7 linked regions of the Oryctolagus cuniculus genome follow. The protein of the gene in region 7 purifies or fractionates together with the protein of the main gene of each other region. This does not show direct contact. Links are inferred from orthologs where the notes say so. Each region holds a gene or a part of one and is shown on either strand. Other genes may lie near its edges. The genes, in order: RPL26, TUT1, DHX9, SRSF4, KPNB1, KPNA2 and LARP7.

Region 1 (4,705 bases), on a different chromosome or scaffold from region 7:
AACTCTACCTTCCAGATAAATAAAATAAATCTTTTTTCAAAAATAACTTTTTTAAAAAAAGATTTACTTATTTACCTGAAAGGTAGTGTTACAGAGGGAGTGAGACACAGAGAGAGATCTTCCATCAGTTGGTTCACTCCCCAGGTGCTGCAATGGCTGGTGAGGGGCTGATCCGAAGCCAGGAGCTTCTTCCATCTGCTGGTTCACTCCCCAAATGGCTGCAACAGCTGGGGCTGGGCTAGGCTGAAGCCAGGAGCCAGGAACCAAGAGCTTCTTCGGGGTCTCCCACATCGGTGCAGGAGTCCAAGCACTTGGGCCATCTTCCACTGCTTTCCCAAGCATGTTAGCAGGGAGCTGGATCGGAAGTGGAGCTGCCGGGACATGAACCAGCACCCATATGGGATGCCAGCGCTGGAGACAGTGGCTTAACCCACTACGCCACAGTAACAGCCCCACCAAATGTTTGTAAATCATCAAAATTCCTATTCTCCACAGACAGGACTCTGGGCCCTCAAGGATACTGTTTCTTTGACTTAACCCAGTGGGCTCCTACGATGTGGGGCCATAGAGGGAGTTGCCGGAAGGGGCTGGGGAGCCACCCTGCACAGGCGCCCTGCGACCTTGCACAAGTGTCACACCTCTCGGTGACTCAGCAGCTCCAGGTGTAACATGAGGACAATAATAGCAGCATCAATAGGGCTATTTTGGGAATCCTAGGAGTGGATGATGTAAAACACACAGAAGGGTGTCCCTAGCACTCGGCTAGCTCATTGCGTCTCGGTGCCCTATTACGAAACGTGTGTCTTCTGTCATTAGGACACCATTCATTCCAGAGAAACCACGCCCTAGCCGCGACGCCGCCGGCTCGCCCTACTGCAGCCCACCGCAGCGTCCCTGTGCGCGGGGGCGCACCCCTTCCCCGCCTCCCACAGATCCGGAGCTGAACCACGAGGGGCAGAACGTCCGGACAGGGGCCGTCCGGCTCCTCCCAAGTCAGCGCCGCCACTCTCGGCATCACCCAGGAGTGGGACAGCAACGCTGCTTCAGACCCGCTTCTACGAAGTGGGCTGGGGGCGATCAGGGGCTCCAGCCTTGGGCGTGGGGGCGGCGGGGCGCCCGGCTGGAGCTAACTAAAGGACCTGCACGTTTACACACCCACGTCATTGGCCTGGGCGGGGACCAGGGAGCCCAGGTGACCGGTCGGCCGGGGTCCCAGCGTCACCTGGTGGCCAGAGGTAAGGCCTGTCCTTGCCAGGCTAAGAGGGCGCCAGCCGCCGTGCAACCAGGAGTGCAGGGACGGGGTCCCCTGGGGCCGCCCGCTCCTTCGTCACTCGCCCCGGAAGTCAACAGCAACCCGGCCTTGGAAGGGAGACCTGGAGGAGGGTTTCACAGTCCCTTGCAGTTTCCCTCCGAGCCGCTAGGTGACACTAGACATCCACTTCTCCCAGTTTTCTTTCGACTCCGCGCCCCTCTCTCGCCGAGACATCAATCTCGCGAGATCGCTCGGAAACTTACAGAACCGGAAGTATCGTGTAAACCTTTTCCCTTTGGTGGCCATCGCCGGAGCGGCAGCTGGTGAGGGTTTCCCTGGGAGGCGATTGCAATCCACGCTCATCCGTTCGTGGGCGCGTTGGCTCTCGGATTCGGGGGCCCCGAGACTCTCCCACCAGCCGCACAGCAGCCAGGGAGGGGGTTTGGGGTGGCTTCTGTTTGATGCTTAGCTCAGGGACCACAGAAGGCGAAGGGGAGGGGGACAGGGGATTTGGGGACTCGGAAAGCGGAGCAGGAGCGGAGGAAGTCTAGGAATTGAAGTTTCCTAGATAACTGTTGGCAGTGAAGTCCACGCACAACCGCAGGCCGCGCTCGCCTCTAGGAGGGTCTTTGGGACCTGCGATCTGTGCAGGATTTCCAGGTGGGGGCAGGGTGATTTGGGGGGCGCCAGGTGTTCACACTCAAGTCTCTCGAAGGTGAACTTTGGTCCTTCCAAAACCTGATGTTACAGTTGAAAAATGGAGTTGTCGGTCATCTAATATAAAGAGTTTGGGGGGATGTAGACAGAAAGTTTAGTGATTAAAGCAGCTGTGTTAATGGGGCGCTCTCTCTCCCCCAGGGACATATAGAAAATACCCCAGTGGAGCGTTGTTTCTATTGAGCCTTTAGTCGACCGGCCGTTCAGCTCTCTGGTGTAACTGATGTCTGTGGTCTGAGTTTTTAGGGGGAAGTTGTTGCTGCTGTTTGGGAAGCGTGTGAGGTTTTAGTCATTGGAGGTTCTTAATTCTTCACACAGCCAAAATGAAGTTCAATCCCTTTGTGACTTCTGATCGGAGCAAGAACCGGAAAAGGCATTTCAATGCCCCTTCCCACATTCGCCGGAAGATTATGTCTTCTCCCCTTTCCAAAGAGCTGAGACAGAAGTACAACGTGCGATCCATGCCTATCCGAAAGGATGATGAAGTGCAAGTATGTATTCCTGCTGTCCGGGCGGATTTCAGGATGAGTCGAGCCAAAAACACGTTGCTTTTCAGTTCCCTTTTTATTGGGTGAAAATCCGTTTTCTCAAGCATCAGCTCCAGTCATAATAAAAGAGGCAAATTATCCAAACGCACCAGCAGAAGGTTCCTTGGGAATTAGCCTTTTCTCAGTATGTTGGATCATTGTAAAGGCATTTGAGGGCCCGAAAAGTTGCTAAGAATCTAGACTCAGAATCTCTTTAATGGAACACCATAGTTCCATTAAAGATTTGTCACAGCTACTCACATCTCCAGTAGACCTTGGAAGCAATTGAGTGTTTTGTTTTCAGGATGTAGCAATATAAGGAGGTCAGGAACTGGAAGGAAACGTGTTCAGAAGCACTTTGGGTTGGTTCTAACAAGCCGAGTGATGGCTAGGACTCCTGGATAGCAAACTGCTCACCTTTGCGAAAGAATTGGTTTGTTCACTTGTGTGTTTGTTGGAGTCCACTCTTGCCTGGCATTGAAGTGGGCACTTAACTAGGTTGTGAATTAGACTTGAGGCCAGTTCTGCTTTTGAGACAAAATAACAAGGTCCTTGTTAACTTCCTACAGAAACCCAAAGTGGTGGCTTCTTTTCATCCTTTAAATAAGCCTCCCCCTGCTGGTAGCTGTCAGCTGTAGGGATGCACTGTCCCTCTCTGTAGACACCTGGGGGCATGGTTTAGCTAAAACCAGGGAGCTAGAATCTTAATGTCATTAAGTCGTTCAAAATTGAAAGCTCTTAGAGATTTAATTCACTATTTCCCTTGTAATGATGATCTTGTTTTTATCTGCTTATTCCTGCTATTTTTGAATTTCAGGTTGTGCGAGGACACTACAAGGGTCAGCAAATTGGCAAAGTAGTCCAGGTTTACAGGAAGAAATACGTCATCTACATTGAGCGGGTGCAGCGAGAAAAGGCCAATGGCACAACTGTCCATGTGGGCATTCACCCCAGCAAGGTGGGTGTTCTGAGAACGCTTGAAACAGAAGGAAGTGAGCACAGTTATTAGCAGGTGTGACTGCTTGTTTACAGACAGTCGCAGGGAAACAGTCCCTGATTTTAGATGTGCTGGGAATCTTGTAAAGCAAATTCTGTATTTGTTTTGAAAATTCAAATACTACTTAAAATGTTTCTGAAACCAAAGTGTCTTTAACAGTTGCTCTGTTTGTATATTTAATGTATCTTTTTCCAAAAACTATGGGAAACCTGGCAGATGAACAGCCTTAGCAATTTATAGATCCTAAAATTTAAAAATAAGATCATTATTAGGTGAATTGGAGCCTTAGCGCTGTTCGTTTTTGTGTATCAGAGTGAAACATTAAGGGTGCATTACAGCCCTGTGAAGTAGGTAGGGGACCATTTATATACAGGGAGAGACCCTGCGGCTCTGAAGTCGACCAGGGGTGGTTATTGCATCTAAGCCAACATGGAAAATTGGTCTAATTCCCATCCAGCAGATGCTTTCCATGGTTTTGTTTTTTGACAGAGTGGACAGTGAGAGAGAGAGACAGAGAGAAAGGTCTTCCTTTGCCATTGGTTCACCCTTCAATGGCCGGCGTGCTGCGGCCGGCGCACCACGCTGATCTGATAGCAGGGGCCAGGTACTTATCCTGGTCTCCCATGGGGTGCAGGGCCCAAGCACTTGGGCCATCCTCCACTGCACTCCCTGGTGACAGCAGAGAGCTGGCCTGGAAGAGGGGCGACCGGGACTAGAACCCGGTGTGCCGGCACCACAAGGCGGAGGATTAGCCTAGTGAGCCGCAGCGCGGGCCTTCCATGGGTTTTTATGTGAATTCTCCCTAAAGCTAACAGCTAATGCATAGTGATGAGTGTTGAAATACTGGAAGCTTTTGAGGGGGTTATTTGTTTTTTGAGATCTTAACATTGGTGCTGTAAGTGTAATTTTAAATAAAAATCAAAAGGTAGTAGAGCAAAGCACCTACAAATGTTTTTTACCTAGAATTCTCTATCAAAATTCTGCCATATTGATGTGTTTGGTTTTTTTGTTTTGCTGCCGTCCCACCCACCCCACCCGCAGCAGTAATTTGCAAGTGCCCTCTCATTACTTCAATATTTACCTCTTAAGGGCAAAGATTTAATTTTTTTTTTAAGATCTATTTTATTTATTTGAAAGAGTTACACAAAGAGAGAAGGAGAGGCAGAGAGAGAGAGGTCTTCCATCCCCATCCGCTGGTTCACTTCCCAGACG
Region 2 (4,192 bases), on a different chromosome or scaffold from region 7:
CTACTACACTACAGCACCAGACCCAAAATAAATAAATCTTTAAAAAAAAAAAAAAAAAAGAAAGAAACGTGGTACATCATAGTACAACCTATGAAATGACGGAGACAATAAAATAGAGAAAATGAGATTTTCAGAGGCAGATTTCTTCTTATAACTGTCATCTATTCTGTGTCAATTCATTTTCATCCTAACTAATGCCTAACCATATTCACATTCCTCCAATTGCAATAACCTTTTCAGAGAGGTCCTATTATACCCATTTTGCAGATGAGAAACTAAGGCCCACTGTCACATGACCATTCTCACTGCCTCTTCCCAGCTGCCCCCTCGTCACTCACCTGAGGTTCTTCCATGTCACCCAGATCCAAGAACAGGTCAAGATCACAGCCATGGACATCAAAGCTGTTTATGGAAGAGCCAAAAGGATGGACCACACAGCCTGGGTGCCGAGCAGAGAATAAAGGTCAAGAAACATTAGGGAGGAGCAGGGGTGGAAGACCATAAAGGAGTGCCCAGGAGGAAGAGCAGTCAGGTAAACACCTCCAGCTGTGACACCGGGATGCAGACACTGAGGAGGGAAGGACAGGAGGCTTCGGACACAGTCGCGGAGGTGACTTACCCGGGAAGAACTCCGTGAAAACCTCCTGCATCAGGGCCACCACCAGGCTCCGAAGCTGTCGCTCGGCCTCAGACAGCTCCCTCAGCCCCACGAGCTTTACCATCTGTGCCCCCACATCTGGGGCTTCAGCCAGTGCCTTGGCCAGGTGCTGACTGTCAGGGGCTGCTCCCTTGGGGGATTTGGAGGCTGGGCTCTGGAACTCCTTCTGCTCCCGTGGCCGGACGCGCAGGCGGTGTCCTCCCAGGCTGTGCTGGGACTGTGACAATACAGCCTCCCGAGCACTCACGTCCCCCATCTCCACGATGGCAAACACTCCCTAGCAGAGAAAGCATGACGGTTTGGACCAAAAATTCAAACCTGTGGTGCAGCAGTGGAATACCTCATACATGGGAATACTATCTTGATGATGCTTTCATTAATAGGGAACATATTTAGAAAAGCAATTCTCTCAGGGCCGAGCTGTGGTACAATGGGTAAAGCCGCTGCTACAGTGCTACCATCCCCTCTGGGCACTAGCTCAAGTCCCGGCTGCTCCACTTCCAATCCAGCTCTCTGCTATGGCCTGGGAAAACAGTAGAAGATGGTCCAAGTCCTTGGGCCCCTGCATGGGAGACCCAAAAGAAGCTGGCTTTGGATTGGCCCAGCTCCAGCCATTAGGGTTTTTGGGGAGTGAAACAGCGGCTAGAAGACCCCTCTCTCTCTCTCCTCTCCTCTCTCTTTCTACCTCTCTGTAACTCTGCCTTTCAAATAAATAAATTTTAAAAAAAGAAAAACAATTCTCTCCCTCACTCTTAACCAACACATTTCTGTCACCCTAATCTGCCTCTGAAAATCCCATTTTGCCTATTTTATCATCCCCTACTCTTCCCAGTTTTATCATTTCACAGGAGATACTAATATCTACTCCCTAACTTTTGTTTTCTAAAAAAAAAAGTTTATTTTTTATTATTTTTTGAAAGGCAGAGGGAGATCTTCCATCTACTGCTTTACCCCAAAATGGCTGCAACAGCCAAGGCTTGGGCCGGGCCGAAGCCAGGAGTCTGGAGCTCCATCCAGGTCACCCACATGGGTGGCAGAGGCCCAAGCAGTCAGGCCACCTTCCACTGCTTTCCCAGAAGCATTAGCAGGGAGAAGCAGTGGACTGGAAGCAGAGCAGGCAGAATGTGAACCAGTACTCTGACATGGGATACAGGTGTCCCAATCAGCAGATTAACCCTCTGCATCACAATGCCTGCTCACTGAATTGTATATTTTATGCTGTGTAAGATTCTCAAATTTTTAAGAAAGGAAAGCTACCAACCCTACACTTACATCTACCCTTATGTCAGAGCAAAGAACGAAAGTGAAGCCAAGGACAAACCACTCTTTGGACCTGCCTAGGCAAGTCTTAGCAGAATCACCAGCCTGCACTTCAGCATCAAGTTTGCAACCAAAGCTCCAGCTAGAAACTAGGTGTCAGGGCTGATGTGGTGGCCCAGTGGGTTATGGCCCCAACTTGCAAAAGGCTTCCCATACTGGAGTGCTTGTTTCAAGCCATGGCTGCTCTAATTCTGATCCAGCTTCCTGCTAACCTGTCAAGAAAGGCTGCAGAAGATGGCCCGACTACTTGTGGGAAACCTAGATGGAGTTCCTGGCTCCTGCCTTTGGCTTGACATAGACCTGGCTGTTGCGGCCATTCGGGGGAATCAACCAGCAGATGGAAGATCTCTTTTTCAAATAAATAAATAAATCTTTTTAAAAAAAAATAAGAAAGAAATTAGCTGTCCCTTTGCCTATCCTTGTCCTTGTGCACCTTTCTCTCAAGAACCTGACAGCATCAGGGAAGCCAGAATTAGCAGACCCAGAAGCAACTGCCCTCAACATTCTTCTCCTCTCAACACCACCTGCCTCAGCTAGAGCTACCATTCGTTGAATGCTCATTATAAAGCCAGAAGTTCACATAAACTATCTCAAAGGCTCCTAAGCCTCCTATAAGGTATATATTGTTGGTGTCGGTGCTGTGGCATAGCAGGTTAATGCCCTGGCCTAGGGCACCGGCATTCCATGTGGGTGCCGGTTCGAGACCTGGCTGCTCGACTTCCGATCTGGCTCTCTGCTGTGGCCAAAGTCCTTGGGCCCCTGCACCCCCATGGGAGACCTGGAAGAAGCTCCTGGCTCCTGGCTTCGGATCAGCACGGGTCCGGCCATTGCGGCCAACTGGGGAGTGAACCATCAGGTGGAGGACCTCTCTCTCTCTCTGCCTCTCCTCTCTCTGTGTAGCTCTGACTTTCAAATAAATAAATAAATCTTAAAAATATATATATATTGTTATTTTCATTTTACAAGTTAGGAAATTAACTCCAAGACACTAAGTACTTGTCACTGCTTCCTAAGTAGGATCTTTTTTGTTTTAAAAAGATTTATTTTATTTATTTGAAAGACAGAGTTACAGAGAGAGGTAGAGACAGAGAGAAAGGTCTTCCATCTGCTGGTTCACACCACAGATGGCCGCAATGGCTGGAACTGAGCTGATCCAAAGCCAGGAGCCAGGAGCTTCTTTGGGTCTCCCACGCAGGTGCAGGGGCCCAACGACTTGGGCCATCTGCTATTCCAGGCCATAGCAGAGAGCTGGATGGGAAGAAGAGCAGCCGGGACTAGAATCGGCACCCACATGGGATGCCAGCGCTTCAGGACAGGGCTTTAACCCACTGCGCCACAGCGCTGGCCCCCCTAAGTAAGACCTTAAACTTCCAAATGCCCAACTTCTCACTGATGATTTTTTTTTTCAAGAATGGTGGAAATTAAATGAGATAGTGTGTGTAAAATACTTAGTACATAATTGGTGCATAGTAATTATGGAAAAATTTTAATCATCATTGTTATAATAATTAGAACCCTCAGAAACTTGAGGTTTAACTTCAGGACAAGATCATTAATTGCAAATTAAATAAGTTATCAACAAACACAAGGTCACTGAACTTCCCAAAGAAGTAACCTGGGGCAGACACTGCCAAGTACCCATCAAATACACGTTCTCGTTTCCTCCTTACTAACAAAACCCTGATTTTGCTGAGAGGCAAACTGCCCGCTAAAAATGCTTAATTTCCCAAGCTTGCCTATAACACGGGGAAAAGCCCTCTGGAGAAAGTTTTTCCTCAGAAATTAAAAAAAAAAAAAAAGTGGGAGTTACACTCAGCTGGCACTGGCCTTCTACATCATACTCTTCAACCTGCCTCCTTCGGCCTAAAGATGGGTAAGCAGCAGTTGCACAACTATGAGGTAAGAACCGTGTGCCAATAATAATGACAGAGCAGCAGGAAAACTGCACAACCCAGGACTGCCAAGGTCTGGATTATTGGTTACATGAGAAAAGCTAGATTATTTTTAAGCCATTTGTAGTAGAGTTACTCAATACAGTCCTAACAAAAACCAGCCCACCCACCCCGAACCTAAAAGAAGGGCCTAGGCTGCTTAAGGATATTTGGGATCACCCAAGCCACACCTACATACCCACAGTGCAGCCTCAGAATCACAATGTGACCAACAACACAACAGTGAGTTTTTTTCAGATAACTAAAGGTACAGTAATGAAAA
Region 3 (4,192 bases), on a different chromosome or scaffold from region 7:
CAGCTGCTCCACTTCCAATTCAGCTCCCTGTTATGGCCTGGGAAAGCAGTGGGAGACGGCCCAGGTCCTTTGGCACCTTCATCCATGTGGGAGACCTGGAAGAAGCTCTTTGCTCTTGGCTTGGGATCAGCCCACCTCCAGTCGTTGCAGCCATTTGGAGAGTGAACCAGCAGATGGAAGACCTTTCTTTGTAACTCTGCGTTTCAAATAAACAATCTTAAAAGCAAAATACCAAAAAATACAAGAGGGGTATGTGCTGCATAGCTACACGATTAATTATGGCATAAAAGATGAGGGGCCTGCACTGTGGCATAGGGAGTTGAGCTACCACCTGCAACATTCCATATGGGATTCCATGGGTGCCAGCTCAAGTCCCAGCTACTCCACTCCTGATCCAGCTTCCTGCCAAGGCATTCAGTAAAACAGTGGAAGATGGCCCAAGTCCTTGGGCCCCTGCACCTACACAGGAGACCTGGATGAAGTTGCTGGCTCCTGGCTTCAGCTGGGCCCAATACTGGCCATTGCAGACTTTTGGAAAGTGAACCAGTGGATGGAAGATCTCTCTCTCTTCAACTCTTTCAGATAAATAAATAAACTAAAAAAAAAAAAATATGATACTCCATTGCACAAAATACAGCTTACTTTCTGCTCTATGAGAATTGTTAATGGAAGCACATGTATGTAATCTTGCTGATTTGGTGGTGGTGCTGTGGCACAAGGGGTTTGGTTAAGCCCCTTTGGGAGGTTTGATTCCATATTGCAGTCTGGCTAATCTATCCTTCCAATTCACCTTCCTGCTAATGCACCCAGGAGCTAGAGGACGCTGGCTCAGGTACTTTAGGTGCCTGCCACCCACACGGGAGACCCAGATGGGAGTTCTGCCTGGCCTGGCCTAGGCAGCCGTGGGCATCTGGGGAGTGAACTAGACAATAAAAGACATCTGTCACTCTTTCAAATAAATAAATCTTTGAAAAAAAGTTGCTAAATTTTACATTCTACTTAGTGTTACACTGGAGTGGTATTTGGCCTACCAGATAAGAGCCACTGATGTGCTGTATGAGAGTTCCGTATCCAGCTCTGTTTTGACTCCAGCTTCCTGCTAATTCAGACCCTGCCACTTACATGGGAAATCTGGATAGAGTACCTGCTCTCAGCTTTGGCCTGGGCATTGTGTGCATCTGGGGAGTAAGAAGGTAGATTGAAGCACTCTCTTTTTAAAAAAATTAAAATGTTACTAATTTTTTTCATTAAAAATGTTGTGTTTGAAAGTTTAGAGTATTACTAGACAATGAAAAAATTGCTGCATGAATGAATGAATGAAACCTATCAACCTGGGAAGATTAACAGTATCCCTAAGACAGGCAATTAGAGGCTGACACCCACCCAGCCATCCTATCACCTGTTCTTCTGAAGCCTCAGAAGAGAATACAGATCCTCCTCAGCTTATGGTGGTATCACATCCCGAGAAACCTACAGTCTACAGAAAAGTGAGCATTTCTAACTCACGTGCAGTCTGCATTGCATGTACACCAAGCATCAAGGAACTCACGTGTAAGCTTCTAAACCTGTCGGGTTTAAACATTCCTTTTTTTTCATGCAATGACCCTTTGCTTGTAATAAATTTGTAATCCTTTTCCTCTGTTAATCTGTCATGTTAATTTAACTCATAACACAGCCCAAGAACTTAGAAGGGTAGAGGGAAACTATTTTTCACGCCCCCAAAAAAACACACAAATAAAATGCCTGGCCACAAGTCCTTACCCCAATAGCCGGGACTTCTTCACTCTTGACTTCATTTATTCGCACCAGATAGTTAACAAAGTCTCTGGCGGCATTGCTCTGCGCGTCCTTCTTATTGGTGGAATTGCCCATGCCAGTGTAATTGTATCCTTCCACTCGGACCTTGAAGCCAAAAAAAGGTGTATCAAGAGATCTGCCGGGGTACTCCAGGATTTAAAAATACACAATTCAGTTATTAAGAAATAACAAATAGCTGACTTCTCGAAACATATTCTATGACTATAGCAGAACTAGCACAGCTAAGAGATTCCATGGAATAAATTTATGAAAAAGGCTGAACTGTATTGTCCAATGATAAGTAATCCAAATCAACTTATACAGCTGATCTCTTTGCACATAATAAAAGGTTCCAGAATAAAACCCAACTTTATAACATCCAACAGCAGCTCTCCATCTGTGTTTACTTAGCAATCAAGGGTTCCACTTTCTAAAGAAGTAGAACTGCAAACTGATCCAGCTTCTGCACTCATCCTACTGGTACTGAGAAAACTCCAGGTTCCAATTAGAATAATTTACCACCAGATTGTTGATGAACAGAATAGCCATCAAATAACAATAAAGAACTACTCTGGGGGCTGGTGCCATGGTGTAGTGGGTAAAGCCACCACCTGCCGCACCTGCATCCCAAACAGGCTCTGGCTCCACTAAAGCTCCCTGCCAATGAGACTGGGGAAGCAGCGGAAAGTGGCCCAAGTGCTTGGGCTCCTGCACCCATGTGGGAGACCTGGGTGAAGCTCCTGGCTCCTTTCTTCGATGTGGCCCAGCTATGGCTATGGCCACTGCGGCCATCTGGGGAGTGAACCATTAGATGGAAGACTTCTCTTGCCGCCTCTCATACCTTTCAAATACATAAATAAATCTTTAAAAACAAAAACAAGAACTGCTCTTCTTCAACGTGCAATACACATTTCTTAACACAAAATGCTCTTAATCCCAAATTGAGCTTCATAAGTAGACAATACTCTTCAGTACCTCACACATGAATTTCTGCCTGTTTTTGTTCCCAACGGCTCTAATTTCATAGGATGGGGTCATCTTCCTTTTGCCACACCAGGCATACAGAAAATCTTTAACGTCCCCCATGATTCAGGTGTGTTCTTCAAACCTAAAAAAACGAAAAACAACTAAAAACCCCACTAAAGTTGGTTAAACAGCATAGTATTTGCAAAAATTGTAAACTGCTGAGAATCCAAATTAAGTACAGTATAATCTATCATGCAATTAAAATTGTCTAGGAAGAAGGAACCAGCAGAATCAGGCCTCAGTCCAGGACAGCGTCTGGGCAACTGGGCAACGCGCCACAAATGGATGTGTTGCCCTGGGTCCCAGGAGAACCCAGCTTCTGCTGGTAGCAGCACACAGGAGGGTCAGCATTTTCCTAGACTATAAATCAGGAGAGATTTCCTTTTATGATATGAAGGATAGGTGTCGTCTCTGTACTTTTCAAGATTCTTTTACTGAAGCTGTTTGGCTGAACTTCTATATTTGAGCAGATTCTGAACCTATTAAAAATCTCATCAGTTTCAGACTGCAAAAGATAAATTACCTGATGGCAAATGATTTAGTTAATACAGCTAACTTAGTCAATTTTAATTTCATTATTTCTGGAATCCTTTAACAGTTTTCCACTGAAAACCAGAACACATTTTCTCCCTGAAGTTCAGTGAGAAAACATGAAAATAATACAAATTTCAAATGACTATCAACTGTCAAGATAAAAGACTTGAGAATATTAACACACCCAAGAAAATATCCTGATTTACAATGGTGTTGTGGCATAGCAGTAAAGCCGCCGCCTGTGACGCCAGCATTCCGTATGGGCACCAGTTTGTGTCACAGTTGCTCCATTTCCAGATCCCTGCTAATGGCTTAGGAAAAGCAGAGATGGTCCAAATGTTTGGGCCCCTGCAGCTATGTGGGAGACCTGCATGAAGCTCCTGCCTTTAGGGGCAGGCACTGCAGCACAGTGCGTTAATTCTCCGCCTGCAGGGCTGGCATCCCATATGGACACCAGTTCCAGTCCTGGCTGCTCCTCTTCTGATCCAGCTCCCTGCTATGGCCTGGGAAAGGAGGAAAAGATGGCCCAAGTCCTTGGGGCCCTGCATCCACCTGGGAGACCTGGAGGAAACTCCTGGATCCTGGCTTCGAATTAGTGCAGCTCCAGCCGTTGCGGTCATTTGGGGAGTAAATCAGTGGAAGGAAGACCTTTCTCTATCTCTCCCTCTCAGTCTGTTAACTCTACCTCTCAAATAAATAAATAAAATCTTAAAAAAAAAAAAAAATTCCTGCCTTTGGCCTGGCCAAGCAATGGCCACTGCAGCCATCACCATTTCAACTGTCCGGAGTGAACCTGTGGTTGGAAGATTCCTCTCTTTCAAATAAATAAATCTTT
Region 4 (4,192 bases), on a different chromosome or scaffold from region 7:
GTTGAGAGGCAGAGTTACAGACAGAGAGGGAGAGTCAAAGTAAAAGATCTTCCATCTGCTACTTTACTCCCCAAAAGACCACAACAACCAGAGCTGAGCCGATCCAAAGCCGGGAGCTTCTTCCAGGTCTCCTACACGCATGCAGGGGCCCAAGCACTTGAGCCGTCTTCCACTGCTTTCCCAGGCTATCAGCAGAGAGCTGGATTGGAAGAGGGGCAGTTGGGACACAAACCAATGCCCATGTGAAATTCAGGTGCCACAGACTGAGGCTTGGCCTACTGTGCCACAGTGCCAGCCCATGTGATTGAGTCTTTATGAACTTTATTGTGTCATCAGAGAATAGTTGACCCCCTTTTTTTATGATACCTGTTATTTACAGTAATGTTTATAAGCGTAAGAATATTAAAATGGATGTAGGTATGGTTATATTTAAAAAGAGCAAACATGTTCGCTTTAAAAATATAGTTAATTATGATGGGGAGTTATGATTATGATAGTGTGATTCATAAGCTGTTTACAAGTACAGATGTATTTTGCTTTTTGGGTAGTCTCACTTTATGGAATAGTAATATGGCTCCTGGTAAAAGTGAAACAGTTTAGCAAACAGGTTTGGGCTAGTTGAAACAAATCGGCAGGTAGGCTCATAGAACAGTTACAAAGAAGACGGTGCTCTCTGGTGGCTTCCTTTCTGCCTCCTCTGCTACCAAGAATGTTGTTTTACTAGTTAGTTTTTAGTGTAATGATTTTACTCCATGTCCCTCACCCAGTGAGTATTTGTAGTGTAGAATCAATGCCGTGGGCCTGAGTTTGATTGTTGCTTCATCATTAGAGGTTTTCCAGTGAATTAATTGAAGAGAAGGAGAAATGATGAGTTTTCCACTAATTCATTGGCTGAAATAACAAGTTTCCTAATGATTCATTTCCACTAGTTTCTTAGTTCAGACTAAATATTCACAACTTAATTGCATTAGCAAAATAGGGTGCAGAAATGATACTTCCTTGTCATTGAGTATTTCCCTTAAGATTATAATATAGCCACATCAACATTTATCTGATGAAACTGATTTTCTGTGCTCCTAGAGCTTGTGTTTCTGCAACCTCGGTCTCAGAGCTTCCTTCCTTCCATTGGTGTTAGGAGACAGCAGATCCTAGTGGTTGGATGTAGGCTTTAGGTTAGCCCCTGGGTTTGAAATCTCTTAGGTGTTTAGGTAATCTTGGCAAGTTACTCAACTGCTTTAAGTGTTAGTTCCTTCATCTGTGAGATAAGAGTAAGTCTCAGAGCTGTGAAAATTGACTATGATATGTGCAAAGCATTTAGTATAATGCTTAATACATAGTAAGACTTTCGAAAGCAGGAGTGATTATTATTAAAAGGATTTGAAGTGTAAGAGTCTAGCAGGCTGGAGTAACCGTGTTAATAGTTGTTTGGAATTAATAAAAACTAAGATTTAGATGCTTCTCATATGCAAAGTACTTTTCTGGTTGCTGCTGTAATCCTTGTGTAGTTGCAAATCTGAAAAGCTTCTAGTATTCTTTGATTTCTGGCCCATCATTCTCCACCATTCATGCTTATATTTTTTGGTCCCAAATCACCATTCCTTATGAAACCAATCAAATGCATTCTTATGTGCGTGATGTTGTCAGTATCCATCTACATCTACCATGTCCAGGTCCAACTCTATCTTCTCTATGGTGGTCTAATTTTTGCTGAGCCTTAGAGCCAAAGACAGACTCTAGGGGTTGATATGGGACCTCCAGGATGGGGATTGCACAGAATAATCTTATTTTTCCTCTATTCTTCTAGTCTGTTATGTTCTGAACCCACACATGTTTTCGGAAGGACCAGATGGCTGACACTGGCTAATGGGAACCAAAAGACAAGAGTGAAAGTAACCTGGTTGTCACATACCCCCACCTTAGAGGTGCTTCACCCTGCCCCAAGGTCAATTCCTTTTTCCCTGGAGACTTCACCCCGCTGTGTCAAAAAACTGTACTACAGCATGGCTTATCTGAGGCTAGAGCACCACTAAGGCAACTACATTTGTCAAATGAGAAAAGACTGTACTCGGGACCATGGAGAGAAGCATCAGCCTGTAAAAGGCAGTGAGTGAGCCTTACGTTTTCCAGTCATGGATCTGAGTTCAAATGCAGCTCCACCACTCCTTAGCTTGGGGACAAAAAGCTACTTGTTTAGCCTCTCTAAGCCTCAGTTTTCTCATTATAAAATGGAAATAATAATAATAATATATTCATATTTGATATGAGGAATCAATGTAATATTATGGATAAATTATTTACCATGTGCTAAATACCCAACATGCACTAGCTCTGTTGTTATTGAAGAGCTCATAATCAAATGAGAAGGCAGGCACAACGGAAAGAACAAGGCTTGAAGAGCCACAAAAGCATGCACGTAAAGCATAAAATTGAAATGCTAAAATGTTTGAACTCAGGCAGTTTTCTAGGGACTCATGAAAAGAGGTAAACTCTCAGACATGGGAAAAGATTGACGTGATTTAACTTGTGTAGTCAGGTGTTCCAGGTTTAGAGAATGAATTTAAAAAGTTCTTCAGGGGTCATTCTAGATGTCTAAGCAAAAGAATGATTTAGCTGAGTTTCGCTGATATAAAGGGACACATTGATTAAGTAAAAATAGCTGCATCCTAGAATTACATCTGTTGGTCAGACAGGTAGAGACAGCCCTGAGTGCCCAGCAAAATGAGAAAACTGGAACTTGTCAGTAGACCCAGTTCGAAACCCAAGAGAACTTGTCAAAAGCGATTTCAAGGTTGTTGGGAGTGAATTAGATGGTTAGGGGATCCAGAAGAGAGAAATCATGAGGTAGGTTTTCTTCTTTGAAGGTGGGGAAAGATCAAGTGCAGACTGAGCTGTGGCCAACGTGTGCAGACCAGGAATCCACACTAGCTCTAATCAGAAAGCTCTTGGTGTGCGGAACTGCCAGTTTGCCGACGTGAAAAGAGCCCCAGACTGGGTAATGGTGAGCCCTGAAGTCGCACCCCAGCTCTGCCACTCAGTGAGCACGGGTAAGTCATCCACCTTCTCCGGGTGGCCTTGATGGCCCTCCCTCCTTTGAGGCTAAAGAAAGGGAGGCCAGAATGCCCAGAGCAGCCTCCTTCCCATCTCAGGATAGGCAAGGGTCTCAGGAGCCTACTCCTGTGTTTGCAGCTCCAGTAGTGGGTTATAAAGAACCCTCCGGCACTGGGAAAGTCAACTGCAACCGTAATCACTGGCCCTGAGCGGTCGAGGCGGCATCTGTTAATGCTGTGAGGGCCCCACGCTGCCGGTCCCCGAAAGCTGCCTGCCTTTGGAATCGGGAGCAGCTACACCGTTACGTTCACGTGCCTCACGTGCGCATGGGAGTTGGTTGCAGACGTGTCTTTCTATGTTCTCCAAGCACTTGCCTTAAGCAGACAGTGAAAATTACTGTTTTTATTGCCATCCTGTCCATGTGTCCTAACTTTTTTCACCTCCTAAGACCAAGTTGGTTGAAGTGTAGGACCAACACTGAGTGCTTTGACAGAAAGCTGTTTGATTCCTGTTCACTGAATGCCATTTCTTTCAGGGCAGACTTAAGGGCCCTGCCCTTAAAATACAGTGCTACTGACTCTAGATTGAGGGTTCAAGCCACCCGTGGGTTAACTTCAACAGATGAACATTTTTCCTTGGCTACAGCAACATCCCTAAGCCTGACCAGCCATGGAGAGGTTCGGTTCTTACCAGGAAAATGAGTGAATGTGGGAATGGCTCACCACATTGGGAAAACAAAACACATCCTGCTGATGGTTGGCTGAGGACTGTCATGTCCACATACAAAGAAAAAGCATGTGGCACAGTTTTAGGACAAAGGTGAGCAGAGATCCACCGTGGAAAGGGGCACATTTTTCTTTTAGAGAGAATATGGAAGGCATGCCCCTCGGTAAGCAGCGTTGGTGGGTGACGCAGTCACACGCATGGAGGCTTGCTTTCCCTGCTCCTCATGTCCACTCCCCAGCAGATTCTGGTGGCGCACCCTGGTCACCTGCCCGTTAAGCCACTGACCGGCCTGTCTCCAGAGCAAGTCCTGCTGCTTGCTCCTCGCTGTTGACAGGGTTCTCCAGTCTCCCTGCTCAGGGCAGGTGTGTGGAAGACAGAAGAGCCTGCACTGTTCTGAAAGGGGGAGTCAATTCCACAT
Region 5 (4,192 bases), on a different chromosome or scaffold from region 7:
CCTTGTAGGGCCACTTCATCAATGTCACTTTTCATTGCTTCAATTGTGATCTTAAGCAAAAAAAAAAAAAAAAAAAAAAAAGAAAACCCAAGCCCCAAGTAAGTACTGATTCAAGTTAGAATCCCCTCTTCAACTACATTCCAGTTTCAACTATAACTTATGAAAGTTAGGTCTGAAATGAAAGGTAAACAGGTTTTTTAAGTACACTGTTTACCAACATGAAGATAGCCCACATTTCCTGGGCACACCGCTGTTGGGCATAAACTTAACTCTCAGATTCCCCCGATTTCCTAACAGTAAGTAGAAGATTACAGAATGAACCAAACGGCAATGAGAATGATGGGCTCTGCAATCAGCTATAAATGCAAATCACATAAAATCAAAATACTTACTGCAAAAAGAGCAGGACCCATGTATGTCTCCATGTACTGGTAATACAGTGACATTATCTTAACCAGATTCTGTAAAGCAGCCACGCGTACCTTTAAAGAGATTAAATGGTTTACTAAAATAATAATGACACAAATGTAGATTCACTCAACTGAGTCAGTGATCTGAAGGTTCATGGAAGCACACATGACAGTGCTGTCTGTCACTGCTCCCCAAAGCTATCTGCCCTCCATTTTTCATGATCCCTCCCTCCAGTTTTCTAGTCCTTCCCTTTGCTTTAAAAGCACCTGTGCAACACACACAGAGCTAAACTCACTGGTGCTTACTCGAACTGAATGTGTCACTTTCACCTGCTTAGGAGTCGCACTTAGATTAGGGCAACAGCTAAACCTGTTTCAATGGCTATATTTGAACAATCACTCGGACAACCTAGGGCAAGAAAGTAAACCTTTAAGAGGACAGCAACCTCCAAATAACTTTTGAGGTAGTATACGACTACTTTTATTCCTTCTTCTCCAATATGTTGGAGAAAAATTGTTAGTAATCTAGTTAGTATTAAGCAAACCTTATTTCTTTAGTCTGACTCCTAGTATCTCAAACTGTATGTGAGAGTTGGCATTTCATAGGGAAGACTTAAAACAGATTTTTTGTAGGATCTCACACTTACCCTCGTATCTGGACACTGTGTGGCTTCACAGACCACCTGCATAATAAAGTGCCTTTCGGACTGCAAGAATAATAAAAATAATCAGGGAAGCAAAAACTATGCACAGGAAAATTCCTAGGCTCTACAGATAAAACTTCTCATCTCCTTGGGTCCACACAGCCTGGCATCATCAGCAACTCCTACTTGAACAGTGGTGGCCTGGAGAAGGCCATGAAGTTCACCTCCAGGGTCTGCTAGAACCTGCCCTTAAGAAGTCCCAAATCTTTGAATCCACAAACTGAGTTTCACTAACTAGAGTTCAGGAAGTAGACAGGAAAACGTAGGTCACAAAAAGATGTTAAGAGGATGCAAAACATCTGCTTTATTTTAGAGACCCCCAAATGTGTTTTTCTGCAAGATGGCTAAGCTCCATCCAATGTCAGGAGAAAAGGGAGAACAGAGTGAAGAACCTCATTTGTTACCTTTCTACATCTGAAATTTAAAAGGAAAGCCCTGTTTTTTAATCAATTAGAAATAAAGGTTGCTCTGTCATCTTATACCTTTCCAACACAAGGCCAAAAACCAGCAAAAACAAGCATACCCCCAAAATTACCTGCAGACCCTGTGAGCCATGAAGTCTACTCATGGATACACCGCCAAAAGAATGAGAGTAGGTCTCAAAAGAAATCTGCCACCATGTTAAAAACCTCATTATTGGAGCTGGCACTGTGGCACAGTAGACTAAGCCTCCACTTCCATATGGATGCTGGTTAATGTCCCAGCTGTCCAATGCAGCTCGCTCTGCCTATGGCCTGGGAAAGCAGTGGAAGATGGCCCCAAGTGCTTGGGCCTCTGTAACTGTGTGGGAGACTCAGAAGAAGCTCCTAACTCCTGGCTTTGGATTGGCCCATCTCCGGCCTTTGCAGCCGTTTGGGGACTGAACCAGTGGATGGAAGATAGCTGTCTCTCTGTTAACTCTTGCCTCTCAAATAAAAAATAAAATAAAAAACATTATTCACAATAGCCAAAATGTGGAAGCAACCCAAATGGATGATTTTAAACAAAATGTGGTATATCTGTATATCTTTGGGCCCCTGCCATCCCACGTGAGACCCAGATGAGTTCCTGAACATGAGTCAGCCTTACAACATGAATGAGCCTCCAGCATCATGGTATGTGGAATAAACCAGCTACAGAAGACAAACACTGTGTGATCCCGCTTTTATGAAGTATGAGAGCAAACACAGAGAAACGCTGGTGGCCAGAGGCTGGGAAAGGAGCTGGTACTCAATGATCCACTTTCAGTTCCACAAGATGACAAAGTTCTGCCGACTGGTTCCACAGCAAGGTGAAGATAATTAGATACTGCAAAATGGTTAGGGGGGCAAATTCTGCTATACAGACTTTACCACATTATAAACAGGGGAAGTATTTTCAGGCAAAACATTTATTTTATTTTATTTTTAAAGATTTATTTATTTATTTAAAAGGAAGAGTTACAGAGAGGCAGAGGCAAAGGCAGAGAGAGAGGTCTTCCATCTGCTGGTTCACTCCCAAAACGGCCACTATGGCTGGAGCTATACCAATCTGAAGCCAGGAGCCAGGAGTTTCCTTTAGGTCTCCCATGTGGTGCAGGGGCCAAAGGACTTAGGCCATCTTCTTCTGCTTTCCCAGGCCAAGCAGAGAGCTGGATTGGGAAGTGGAGCAGCTGGGACTCGAACCAGTGCCTGTTTGGGATGCCGGCACTGCAGGTGGTGGCTTTACCCAATCCACCACAGCGCCGGCCCAAGGCAAAACATTTATATCCCTTACTGCAGCACCAGTTTGAGTCCTGGCTACTCCACCTCTAATCCAGCTCCCTGCTGATGTGCCTGAAAGACAGCACATAGCAGCCAAAATACTCAGGGCCCTGCTACCCAAATGGGAGCCCCAGATGGAACGTGGGCTCCTGTCTTCAGCCTGGCCCAGTCCCAGCTGCTACGGCCATTTGGGGAGTGAACTAGCAGATCAAAGATCATCTGTTTCTCCCTTTCTCTGTCACTATGCCTTTCAAACACATAATTCTTTTAAAATAGCGTATACTATTTTAAAATAGCGTTCTCAAAAGCATCCTCCGGAAGGATATATGAAACAGTGCAATTGCTGTAGTCTTCTTTTTAATCCCAAATTATTCTCACACTTGAACTAAGCTAAGAAACACTTGAATAACATTATTTATAAGAGCCTGACGAAAAATGGCAAACACCTATTCCATGGCTGCATCCCATACAATCCAAATCTCATCAAGAGCGAAAACGAAGGCTCCTGAACAAGGTGGTGCTTTCGAAGTTATCAACTTCATGGAGAAACACCCTCCAAATCTAAACCTTTTGTCAAAAGAAACTTACCTCTTTGTCAAAGTTTGCTTTGGTGAACTCCAGTGAGTTCAGGAGTGCATTGGTAGCAGCGAGCTTCACATTATTACTAGGCTCTTCTTTCCTCATCCCCTGGATTATGGCAGTCAGAATCTCATTGGATTTATCCTGCAGCTGCTCTGGGTCCTGGAACAAGCAGAGAAGTGCAATGACTATAATAAAGAGATCACAGCTAATCAGCAGTCCTTTTAACTACAAAATCCACTTGAGTCTCCTGACTTTGTGATCATTTTCCACTCATTTCCATGTGGGGACAGCACTGCAAATCACCTGCAAAATATTCAATGGCACTGGTAGTCCACAATGGAACTGAAACAAGTTAGTCAACCTCATCTCTGACTTACTGGCATCTCAACTCTGGGCTTCTTCCTCTTCTGTGCACATGGAGATGGCAGTCTGCTGGGTTTTCCTGGCCATATGTACCAAATGACATAAAGCTGCAGAATATGGGCGCCAAGCACCAACACCTGAGCATAAAATCTTGGTTCTCTAAGCCAGCACACAGCAAGGGTTCTAACCTTAGCAGCAGCAAGCCTTTCAGAGGACCACATCTAAGATGCTGTGCTGGGCTGATCCTGTGCTGCGGAAGGCTAAGCCGCCACTTGTGATGCCATATCCCACACAGGCGTACCAGCTCGAGCGCTGGCTGCTCTGCTTCAGATCCAGCTCCCTGCTGATGCGCCTGGGGAGGGCAGTGCAAGATGGCCCAAGTGCTTGGGCCCCTGCCATTCCATGTGAAAGA
Region 6 (3,260 bases), on a different chromosome or scaffold from region 7:
CATCCAAGCTGGAGAAGGAAAAGGAGCAGAGTGGGAAAGGCAGGGCAGTGTGCAGAGCCCGCTTCCTCCTCCTCTCTCCACTTCAGGGGTCTTCCTCCCAGGACGCCCAAGATGCCCTAAGTACAGGCACGTCAGGAACTCGGCTATGGGAGTTACTTCATGTGTTGGCCATGCGTAAGCAATTGAACAGTTGCATGGAGGAAACTGGAAAACCCTGTTATCTACAAAAGACAAAAACATATTTGATGACTGGGGAGAAGTGGAAGCCTGTTGAATTATATTACCAGTGACTTAGAAACAATGTCTTACAACAAGGCCGGCGCCGCGGCTCACTAGGCTAATCCTCCCGGTTGCCCCTCTTCCAGGCCAGCTCTCTGCTGTGGCCCGGGAGTGCAGTGGAGGATGTCCCAAGTGCTTGGGTCCTGCACCCGCATGGGAGACCAGGAGAAGCACCTGGCTCCTGGCTTCAGATCAGCGCGATGCGCCGGCCGCAGCGGCCATTGCAGGGTGAACCAATGGCAAAAGGAAGACCTTTCTCTGTCTACTCCGCCTGTCAAAAAAAAAAAAAAGTCTTACAACAAATGAACCAGAACTCCTGGGTAACCGTGCCCAGGTGATGCCAATGTAGCACCAGGTCTCACTTGGGAGGAACGATTCCCACTTGTAGCTCCAGGAGGAGCGTGACTAAATTTAAGATTTTTATCCCATCTCCCTGGTCAGTGAAACCTAAAAACACTGGCTGAGGACTTCTGGAAACTTCACTCCTCTTTCTGTGAAACTTCTGATTCCAGCTTTAGCAAACAGATATCAGGTGTTTAAGTACCAAAAGGACAAGCAGCAGCTTAGCACCAAACCAAGAGACTCGGAATCCGGAAGAAAAGTTATCCACACCCCACCTCCTACAGTCAGGACTGGCCCCACTGACTGGTTGCCACGGACCCTTCATCTGCAACATTAGAGCTCCGAATTAGAAAACAACACACACACCAGGTGAAGAAAGGGGTGGAATTTTATCTTTATTTACAGGACACTGTAAGATACGAAATTCCACAGAAGTAAGAAACCCATTCAGAGGACAAGCTTCATACAGTATGTACAGTTTGGAACTGTTCAAGTATAGTTTTGTTGTAAAAGTGCTACAATAACAAACCACATTTAAAAAAAGGTCTTAGTAGAGAAACAGTAAGACAAACAACAAAATGACTGGTGCCTCAGCAGTGCGATCAGAAGTGAAAGGCGCCCGGCGCCCCATCCTGCACTTGGAAGGTGTAGCCTTCAGAGGTGGTCTCTGGCGCAACATTCTGATCTTCCTCTTCCTGAAACATGAAAAAGCAACGTGACCCCATAAATATGGCACATTTCTAAGCAGTAGCATGCCTCAAGTCTCGACCTGCTCATAAAGTTTACAGCTGCACACCCACCTTCAACCCTGAGACCATATTCTTTCTGTCTGACACAGGAGGAGGGAAGGGCCGCTGAAACCCGGACAAGTCAGGAATGCCTGGGAGAAGCAGTTCTGAGTGGGTTAAAGAATGCTACTACAAGCAAAATTGAGATTTTTCTGTTCCACCTGCCACTTGTCAGTAGAAAGAGAGCCAACTACGATCAGAGTTCACCCACTTCTCCAAGAATCCCTACAATGACAACCATAAACTTTAAAGATATTCCGATTCCCAAGATTGTTCATTTGAAAGTAAACTAGTGACTTTTAAAATTTCAGGTTAAATATCATCAACCCAAATATTATATGGGCAAGTCCTAAATATATTTTTTTGACATTTTGCAATACTGAACAAGGGTACAGGGGGTGGGTGTTTGGCCTAGCAGTTAAGATACTAGGAGTTCAGCCGGCGCCGTGGCTCAATAGGCTAATCCTCAGCCTGTGGCACCGGCACCCCGGGTTCTAGTCCCAGTTGGGGCGCCGGATTCTGTCCCGGTTGCTCCTCTTCCAGTCTAGCTCTCTGCTGTGGCCCGGGAGGGCAGTGGAGGATGGCCCAAGTGCTTGGGCCCTGCACCCGCATGGGAGACCAGGAGGAAGCACCTGGCTCCTGGCTTCAGATAGGGGCAGTGCACTGGCCATAGCGGCCATGTGGGGGGTGAACCAACGGAAGGAAGACCTAACTCTGCCTGTCAAAAAAAAAAAAAAAAAAAAAAAAGCTACTAGGAGTTCAAATCCTGGCCCTAACTCCTGATTTTAGCTTCCTGTTAGTATGCACCCTGGGGGAAGGCAGTAATGGCTTGGTATCTCGAGTCTCTGTCACCCACATGGAGACTTTGTTTAAGCTCCTGGCTTCTAGCTTCAGCCTGGCCTAGACTCAGGCATTATGGGCATTTAGGGAATGAACCAGCTTATAGTTCTCTCTCAAAAACATTAAAATTGGGGTCAGTGTTGTGGTGTAGCAGGTAAAGTCGCCTCCTGCAGTGCCAGCAGCCCATATGGGCACTGGTTCGAGTCCCGGCTGCTCCACTTCGATCCAGCTCTCTGCTATGGCCTGGGAAAGCAGTGGAAGATGGCCCAAGTCCTTCGGCCCCTGCACCCACATGGGAGACCTGGAGGAAGCTTCTGGCTCTTGGCTTAGGAGCAGCTCAGCTCTGGCCGTTGTGGCCATCTGCAGAGTGAACCAGCAGATACAAGACCTCTCTCTCTCTCTCTCTCTCTGCCTCTCCTCTCTCTATGTAACTCTTTCAAATAAATAAATCTTTATAAAAAAATTTTTTTAAATGTATGGAACTCACTTAAAGTACAAAGAGAAAAAAAGAACATCTCATAGTTTGCCCATACATGTGTATTTTCCAAGTTGTTATTAACAGTAGCTCACCTCTATAGAGAAGTACTTCTCAATCAAGTTTAATGAAGCCCTATACACGGATTCATTCTCATGGTTTTGAAGAGCTTCAATTTTATCCAAGCCTCCACATTCTTCAATCATTATACTAAGTTTCTCAGTTTCACCTAATTTCTCAGCAGCCTAAAAGAAAAGAAAGGTCCAGTTTACTGGTTTATTCTCTGATGGTTCTATTTTAATGAAAATACACATATCAAAGCTTTCATATATCAGACAGGAATGCACATTAACAGTTTCTTTAACAATCCTAATGATAGTCTTATGTCCACTTTATATTTTTTTTGAAACTCAATGTAGCAGGTACATGAGAGAAGGTGGGAGAACCAGTCACTCATAATTTACAGATGGCGATAGACACCAGCCTTCCTTATTCTGAATCCAGCTTCAACATGTAATAATTTCCAGAACCAGATC
Region 7 (4,796 bases):
CGAGTCCTGGCTACTCTTCTTCTCTGGCTCCTTGATTCTGTGCCAGGAGCCCCTATACCCATGCAGGAGACTGGGAAGAAGCTCCTGGCTCCTGGCTTTGGACTGGCCCAACTCTAGCTGCTGAGGTTATGTGGCAAGTCAGCCAGTGGATGCAAGTTCTCTGTCTTCCTGTAAACTCTGCCTTTCAAATAAATGAAATAAATCTTTTTTTTTTTTTTTAAAAAGGTACAAGTGTAGTCTATGATTATCACTGTAGCAGGCTCCAGTGTCAACAATGAATCGTAAGGAGCAGACAACCTGTTTTCCAACTAGTTTCCTTGTCTGAGCCACCACTTAAGAAGCAGTGGACAGAGCTGCACATGCACATAAGTCACAATTCTCCCAGAAAACTTTCCCCTCCATTTTCACAGCTCAGCCCAAAGACTCCTTCTTTCTTATTAAAAGGATTATTTTTGTGTCTTACAGTATTTAAGCTCAGACTGATGAAATATATCTTCAATTAAAAGACAAAGACTAAACAGAAAGTGATATAAGAAATGGTTAAATTTACTTTTCCCAAACAATGACTGCAGAAAATCAGAGTTATATATTGTGATTCCACACATTCCAAGTCTCCAACTCTCCTCCCCAGGCCTGCTTTACCACCATGCTCTTACTTAAGGATACCTATTCTATCAAGCTAACAAATGATGCTATGTGCTAGCTGCACAGATTTTGAGCAAGTTACCTCATCTATGGCCTATAAAACATGGATAAAAATTATAACCACATAATATGGCTGTTGTGAGGATTAATCACAATAATGGAAATGAAGCACTTCAAATTGCTGCTTTACAGAACATACTCAATAACATGTAATCATTATCATGATTTAGCACTCTAAATCCTATCAATTTGACTTCTCATTTCCTTTGTTCCTTCCTTCCTCCTTCCATCTATCCATTCATTATTTTCCACTACTGTCACTAGTAACAAGATAACATTTGATAAAGTATCCTAGCAGCCATACACAGAAGCCTATGTGTAACTTGTCTGGAATGGATTCGTTTTTCTGAGATTGATGTCAAACCCCAACATCAGAAATTCTTTGGCACTTTTCAATGACATGCATTAAAAGAAAAAAAAGAAAACCAACCAATCTGGCTTCTAAATATAGGCTTTAAACAAAGAATAAGTTACTGTGTAACAATGCCAGTTACTCTACATTGTTCTAAAGCCTCAGAAACCCACTAGGTAGTTTATTTTCACAGAAACTCAAAGGTTAAGTGACTTGGCTAAAACCAGCTGGGTAAGTGAGCCCAAGTCTGTTTGACTCTTAATTCCTACTTTCAGTAGAGCCACTTGTAATTTGTTACTAGCATGCTATGTTCTGACCCAGGAATTCTTTCTTTTTAGATCTAGGTGATTACAATTTCCTTTACTTCTTTCTCTTTCAAAGGCCAGAGAGAGCGAGATCTCTTCCATCTGCTGGTCCACTCTCCAAATGCTTGCAACAGTTGGGGCTAGGCAAGGCTGAAGTCAGGAGCTAGGAATTCAATTGGGGCCTCCCATGTGGTGACAGAGACCCAATTATTTGAATTACCATCTGCTGCCTTCCAGGGTGCCAGGATGTGCTAATCGGGAAGCTAGATAGGAAGGGGAAGAGCTGGGACTCAAACCCAAGAGATCTGACAGGAGTTAAGATGCTGTTCAAGCAGCATCTGATCAGCTTGGACAAAGTCCTGCCCCTCACGCAAGGCTTCTTGTGAACTTGGCAGTTACATTGTGGGGCAGTGAGTTAAGTCACCAAGTGGGACTTAGACATTCCTAATCCTGGAGGCCTGGGACGGAGTCCCACCTCCAGCTTCCTGCTACCCATGGGGGAGACCGGGATGGAGTTCCCGGTTCCTGTGTTTGGCCTGGTCCAGTCCAGCCTTGGCATTTGGGGAGTGAACCAGAGGATGGAAAACATCTCTTTCTCTCACTCTCTGTCCCATTGCCTTTCAAGTAAATAAACATTTTTCCGAACTTCATTAAACTGCGAGGTAATAACTACATCTCCACTAGACAAACCTGATTTCCATTTATCATTTTCTACAAGTTACACAACTGTAAAAGAGCTCAATGACAATAAAAGGCATTGATATCTCGGAGGAGTTAAACAAGACCCCAAGTAATTATTTTTTTTGCCATTTCGAAGTCTTTCACACATTTCCTAGTAAAATTAAACAGAAAATATTTTGATAAGTATATGCACATTCTCTTGGGAAGCTGATGCGTAACTTTTATCACTTTTTCAAAAGAACTCCTGTGTCTAATAAACCCCTATTCGGTTTTCAAGGCTCAGGGTAGGTGGCATCTTAACTTCCACCGCTACCTCCTCCTCAATTGCTCGATTTGTTTTCCCCAAGTACCTCTAGGAATGCTTTTGGTATGCAGTACTTAGCACTCATTGCTAGGTCCTTCTCACAACTAGATTTTCAACTCTTCGAGGAGAAAACTAGAGTCGTGTAAAAGAAAATGACTTAGAACACAAGTTCTCACATTCGCTATCCTTTGGCAGACAAACTTCAACTCCAATTGGCAAAATAAAGCACTTTCCCTAGCACCTACTGATCTTCTCGGCACCCGTACTTCCTTACAGACGCCGGCAAGCGCTGGGCGTGCCCCAAACCTCGCAACGCCGGGCGCTATGCGCCCCCACTCTCCGCACACTGGAACTGCAAGAGCTAGCAGAGGACTTCTGCGCGTGCGCACAGAGAACTAGGCCTAGCGAACCCAAGGTAGCGTGGGAGGGGGCGGGACGAGATAGCCGACACATGATAGAATGAGCTGCTAGAAAAGAGACTGAGGATTAACACTACTCAATGAACGCGACTTCGGGGCCACTTGCAACTTACTCGATTCAATTCTAAAAATACAGCGTCAGCGACGGCGTCCTTCAGCCCCTTCCGTCTCCTGATGCTTAAAGTCGTGGTTATTGCGCGTCATAGGATAAGCGACACCACACTCTCATCCTCTTCAGAAAGACGGGCCCGGAGGCCGTACGTCCGCCGCCTACGTCACACGCGAGGGCTGGCTCCAGGAGGGCGGGACATCGGAGAGCGCGACCTGCCGAGGCGGCTGGAAGCCAATGAAGATTTTGATTGGCGGGTTAAAAATGGCGGTTCTAGGTGAGGCGGGGTGAGCGGCCTCAGTTTGGGTCTTCATCCGGTGTGGTCCCGGTTTGATGACGTCACTAAATTTTCGCGGGAGAAATTCGAAAAGTGGATTTTGTGCAGTGGGACGAGGTGAAGTGGCTTTCGGGGTATCTGGGAAATGAAGGGTGGACAGTGAAGGGGACTTGAGCGATTTAGGATTAGGGGCCGAAAGAGTCCGTTCCGCAGAAGCGGACCGGGAAGAATGCTGTTTGGGGCCGAGATGGGGGCGGTAGCAGGCGCAGCTTGCCCGGACCGCCCGTGGTAATTGGTGTCTCCTCTTCAAGTCTTTTGTTTTGCAATTCCGCCTGCCCGTGAGGACCAGAGGGGTATTGCTGTTTGTTTTCATGACCCTAAAGTCTATCTCTATTGTCCTTCAAAACAACGGCTCAGATTTATTAGGATCTTGGCAAATGACGTGTGGATTTCCTTTGGTTGTTTGTTCTGGTTGGTTTCCTAATAGGATGTTGAGCTCGTATTCTGAAACTTTTAAGTTTGAACCGTTAAGGAGTTTAGGTTTGAAACATACTGCTTGTTCAAAAACATGGGAACCAGAAACATCTTGTAATTTACAGGAAAAATGGCTCATTAAAAAAAAACGATTTATTGTATGTATGTGAAAGAGCTACAAAAAGATCTAGAGCCAGAGATAGTCTTTCATCCGCTTGGTTCACTCCCCAAATGGCCACAGTAGCCAGAGCTGAGCTGATCCTAAGCTGGGAGCCAGGAGCTTCCTCTGGGTCTCCCATAGAGTGCAGGGCCTCAAGGAGTTGGGCATTTTCTACTGCTTTCCCAGACCATAGCAGAGAGCTGGATCGGAAGTGGAGCAGCGGGAACTCTAGCCGTCACTCATATGGGATGCCAGTCCTGCAGACCAGGGCTTTAACTTTCTGTACCACAGCCCTGGAAAATGGCTCATTTTTAAAAACTGAGAACACCCAGTTTTGCATATGTAATATAACAGCACCATAATATATCTGTGTGTATGTGCATATATAATTATCACTGAACATTTGGAATCTCCACATCATTTTAAAAAGTTATTTGCTGATTTATCTTTCACGGATTAGGAAGTGGGTCACCACTTGAATTGTCTGACAAATGTAGACAGATTAGCACTAAGAAAAAAAATTAATATCTTTTTATTTAGAAGATAAGACAAACACACAAACCGATCTTCCACCCTCTGATGTTGGCCAGGACTGGACCAAACCAAAGCTGGAAGCCAGGAACTCCATCTTTGTCTCCTGCATGGGTTGCAAAAGACCCAATTACTTGAACTCCCTGCTAGGATGTACACCTGTAGGAAGCTGGATTGGAAGAGGAACCAGGATTCCAACCCAGGCAATACCAAAGTCAGGAGCCAGGTGCTTCCTCTGTGTCTGCCGCATTGGTGACAGGGGCCCAAGCACCCAGGCCATCCTCCACTGCCTTTCCCAGGCCATTAGCAGGGAGCTGGATAGGAAGTAGAGCAGCCTGGACACGAACCAGTGCTTATGGGATGCCAGCATTGCAGGTGGCAGCTTTACCTGCTGTGCCACAACACCGGCCCTAGTTTTTTTTAGGCGTAATCCCAAAGGCTCTTTTTGCCATCATAGAGAGTTTGACCCTTCTCAGTTC

Evidence for each region.
Region 1: the proteins of LARP7 (region 7) and RPL26 purify together in Homo sapiens (affinity purification with mass spectrometry; 3 studies listed by BioGRID). This does not show direct contact. The link is inferred for Oryctolagus cuniculus from reciprocal best matches to the Homo sapiens genes LARP7 and RPL26.
Region 2: the proteins of LARP7 (region 7) and TUT1 purify together in Homo sapiens (affinity purification with mass spectrometry; 4 studies listed by BioGRID and IntAct, with this or other methods). This does not show direct contact. The link is inferred for Oryctolagus cuniculus from reciprocal best matches to the Homo sapiens genes LARP7 and TUT1.
Region 3: the proteins of LARP7 (region 7) and DHX9 purify together in Homo sapiens (affinity purification with mass spectrometry; 3 studies listed by BioGRID and IntAct, with this or other methods). This does not show direct contact. The link is inferred for Oryctolagus cuniculus from reciprocal best matches to the Homo sapiens genes LARP7 and DHX9.
Region 4: the proteins of LARP7 (region 7) and SRSF4 purify together in Homo sapiens (affinity purification with mass spectrometry; 3 studies listed by BioGRID and IntAct, with this or other methods). This does not show direct contact. The link is inferred for Oryctolagus cuniculus from reciprocal best matches to the Homo sapiens genes LARP7 and SRSF4.
Region 5: the proteins of LARP7 (region 7) and KPNB1 purify together in Homo sapiens (affinity purification with mass spectrometry; 3 studies listed by BioGRID and IntAct, with this or other methods). This does not show direct contact. The link is inferred for Oryctolagus cuniculus from reciprocal best matches to the Homo sapiens genes LARP7 and KPNB1.
Region 6: the proteins of LARP7 (region 7) and KPNA2 purify together in Homo sapiens (affinity purification with mass spectrometry; 3 studies listed by BioGRID and IntAct, with this or other methods). This does not show direct contact. The link is inferred for Oryctolagus cuniculus from reciprocal best matches to the Homo sapiens genes LARP7 and KPNA2.

Annotation. Positions count from the first base shown.
Region 1 is NC_091448.1:52,826,109-52,830,813, reverse strand, and holds the start of RPL26 (large ribosomal subunit protein uL24), read left to right. Parts: upstream 1-1,442; 5' UTR 1,443-1,575; exon of another isoform or gene 1,576-1,912; intron 1,913-2,287; 5' UTR 2,288-2,292; coding exon 2,293-2,460; intron 2,461-3,313; coding exon 3,314-3,454; intron 3,455-4,705.
Region 2 is NC_091432.1:8,967,562-8,971,753, reverse strand, and holds part of TUT1 (speckle targeted PIP5K1A-regulated poly(A) polymerase), read right to left. Parts: intron 936-4,192; coding exon 620-935; intron 440-619; coding exon 339-439; intron 1-338. UniProt on the Homo sapiens protein: Poly(A) polymerase that creates the 3'-poly(A) tail of specific pre-mRNAs. Localizes to nuclear speckles together with PIP5K1A and mediates polyadenylation of a select set of mRNAs, such as HMOX1.
Region 3 is NC_091444.1:1,034,186-1,038,377, reverse strand, and holds part of DHX9 (ATP-dependent RNA helicase A), read right to left. Parts: intron 2,906-4,192; 5' UTR 2,884-2,905; coding exon 2,773-2,883; intron 1,903-2,772; coding exon 1,762-1,902; intron 1-1,761. UniProt on the Homo sapiens protein: Multifunctional ATP-dependent nucleic acid helicase that unwinds DNA and RNA in a 3' to 5' direction and that plays important roles in many processes, such as DNA replication, transcriptional activation, post-transcriptional RNA regulation, mRNA translation and RNA-mediated gene silencing.
Region 4 is NC_091438.1:142,561,340-142,565,531, forward strand, and holds part of SRSF4 (serine/arginine-rich splicing factor 4), read left to right. Parts: intron 1-1,804; exon of another isoform or gene 1,805-3,044; intron 3,045-3,583; exon of another isoform or gene 3,584-3,693; coding exon 3,694-3,867; intron 3,868-4,192. UniProt on the Homo sapiens protein: Plays a role in alternative splice site selection during pre-mRNA splicing. Represses the splicing of MAPT/Tau exon 10.
Region 5 is NC_091448.1:23,995,709-23,999,900, reverse strand, and holds part of KPNB1 (importin subunit beta-1), read right to left. Parts: intron 3,577-4,192; coding exon 3,424-3,576; intron 1,118-3,423; coding exon 1,058-1,117; intron 483-1,057; coding exon 393-482; intron 51-392; coding exon 1-50.
Region 6 is NC_091448.1:13,984,734-13,987,993, reverse strand, and holds the end of KPNA2 (importin subunit alpha-1), read right to left. Parts: intron 2,970-3,260; coding exon 2,820-2,969; intron 1,317-2,819; coding exon 1,224-1,316; 3' UTR 992-1,223; downstream 1-991.
Region 7 is NC_091439.1:52,312,584-52,317,379, forward strand, and holds the start of LARP7 (la-related protein 7), read right to left. Parts: upstream 3,166-4,796; 5' UTR 2,880-3,165; intron 2,722-2,879; exon of another isoform or gene 2,394-2,721; intron 1-2,393. UniProt on the Homo sapiens protein: RNA-binding protein that specifically binds distinct small nuclear RNA (snRNAs) and regulates their processing and function.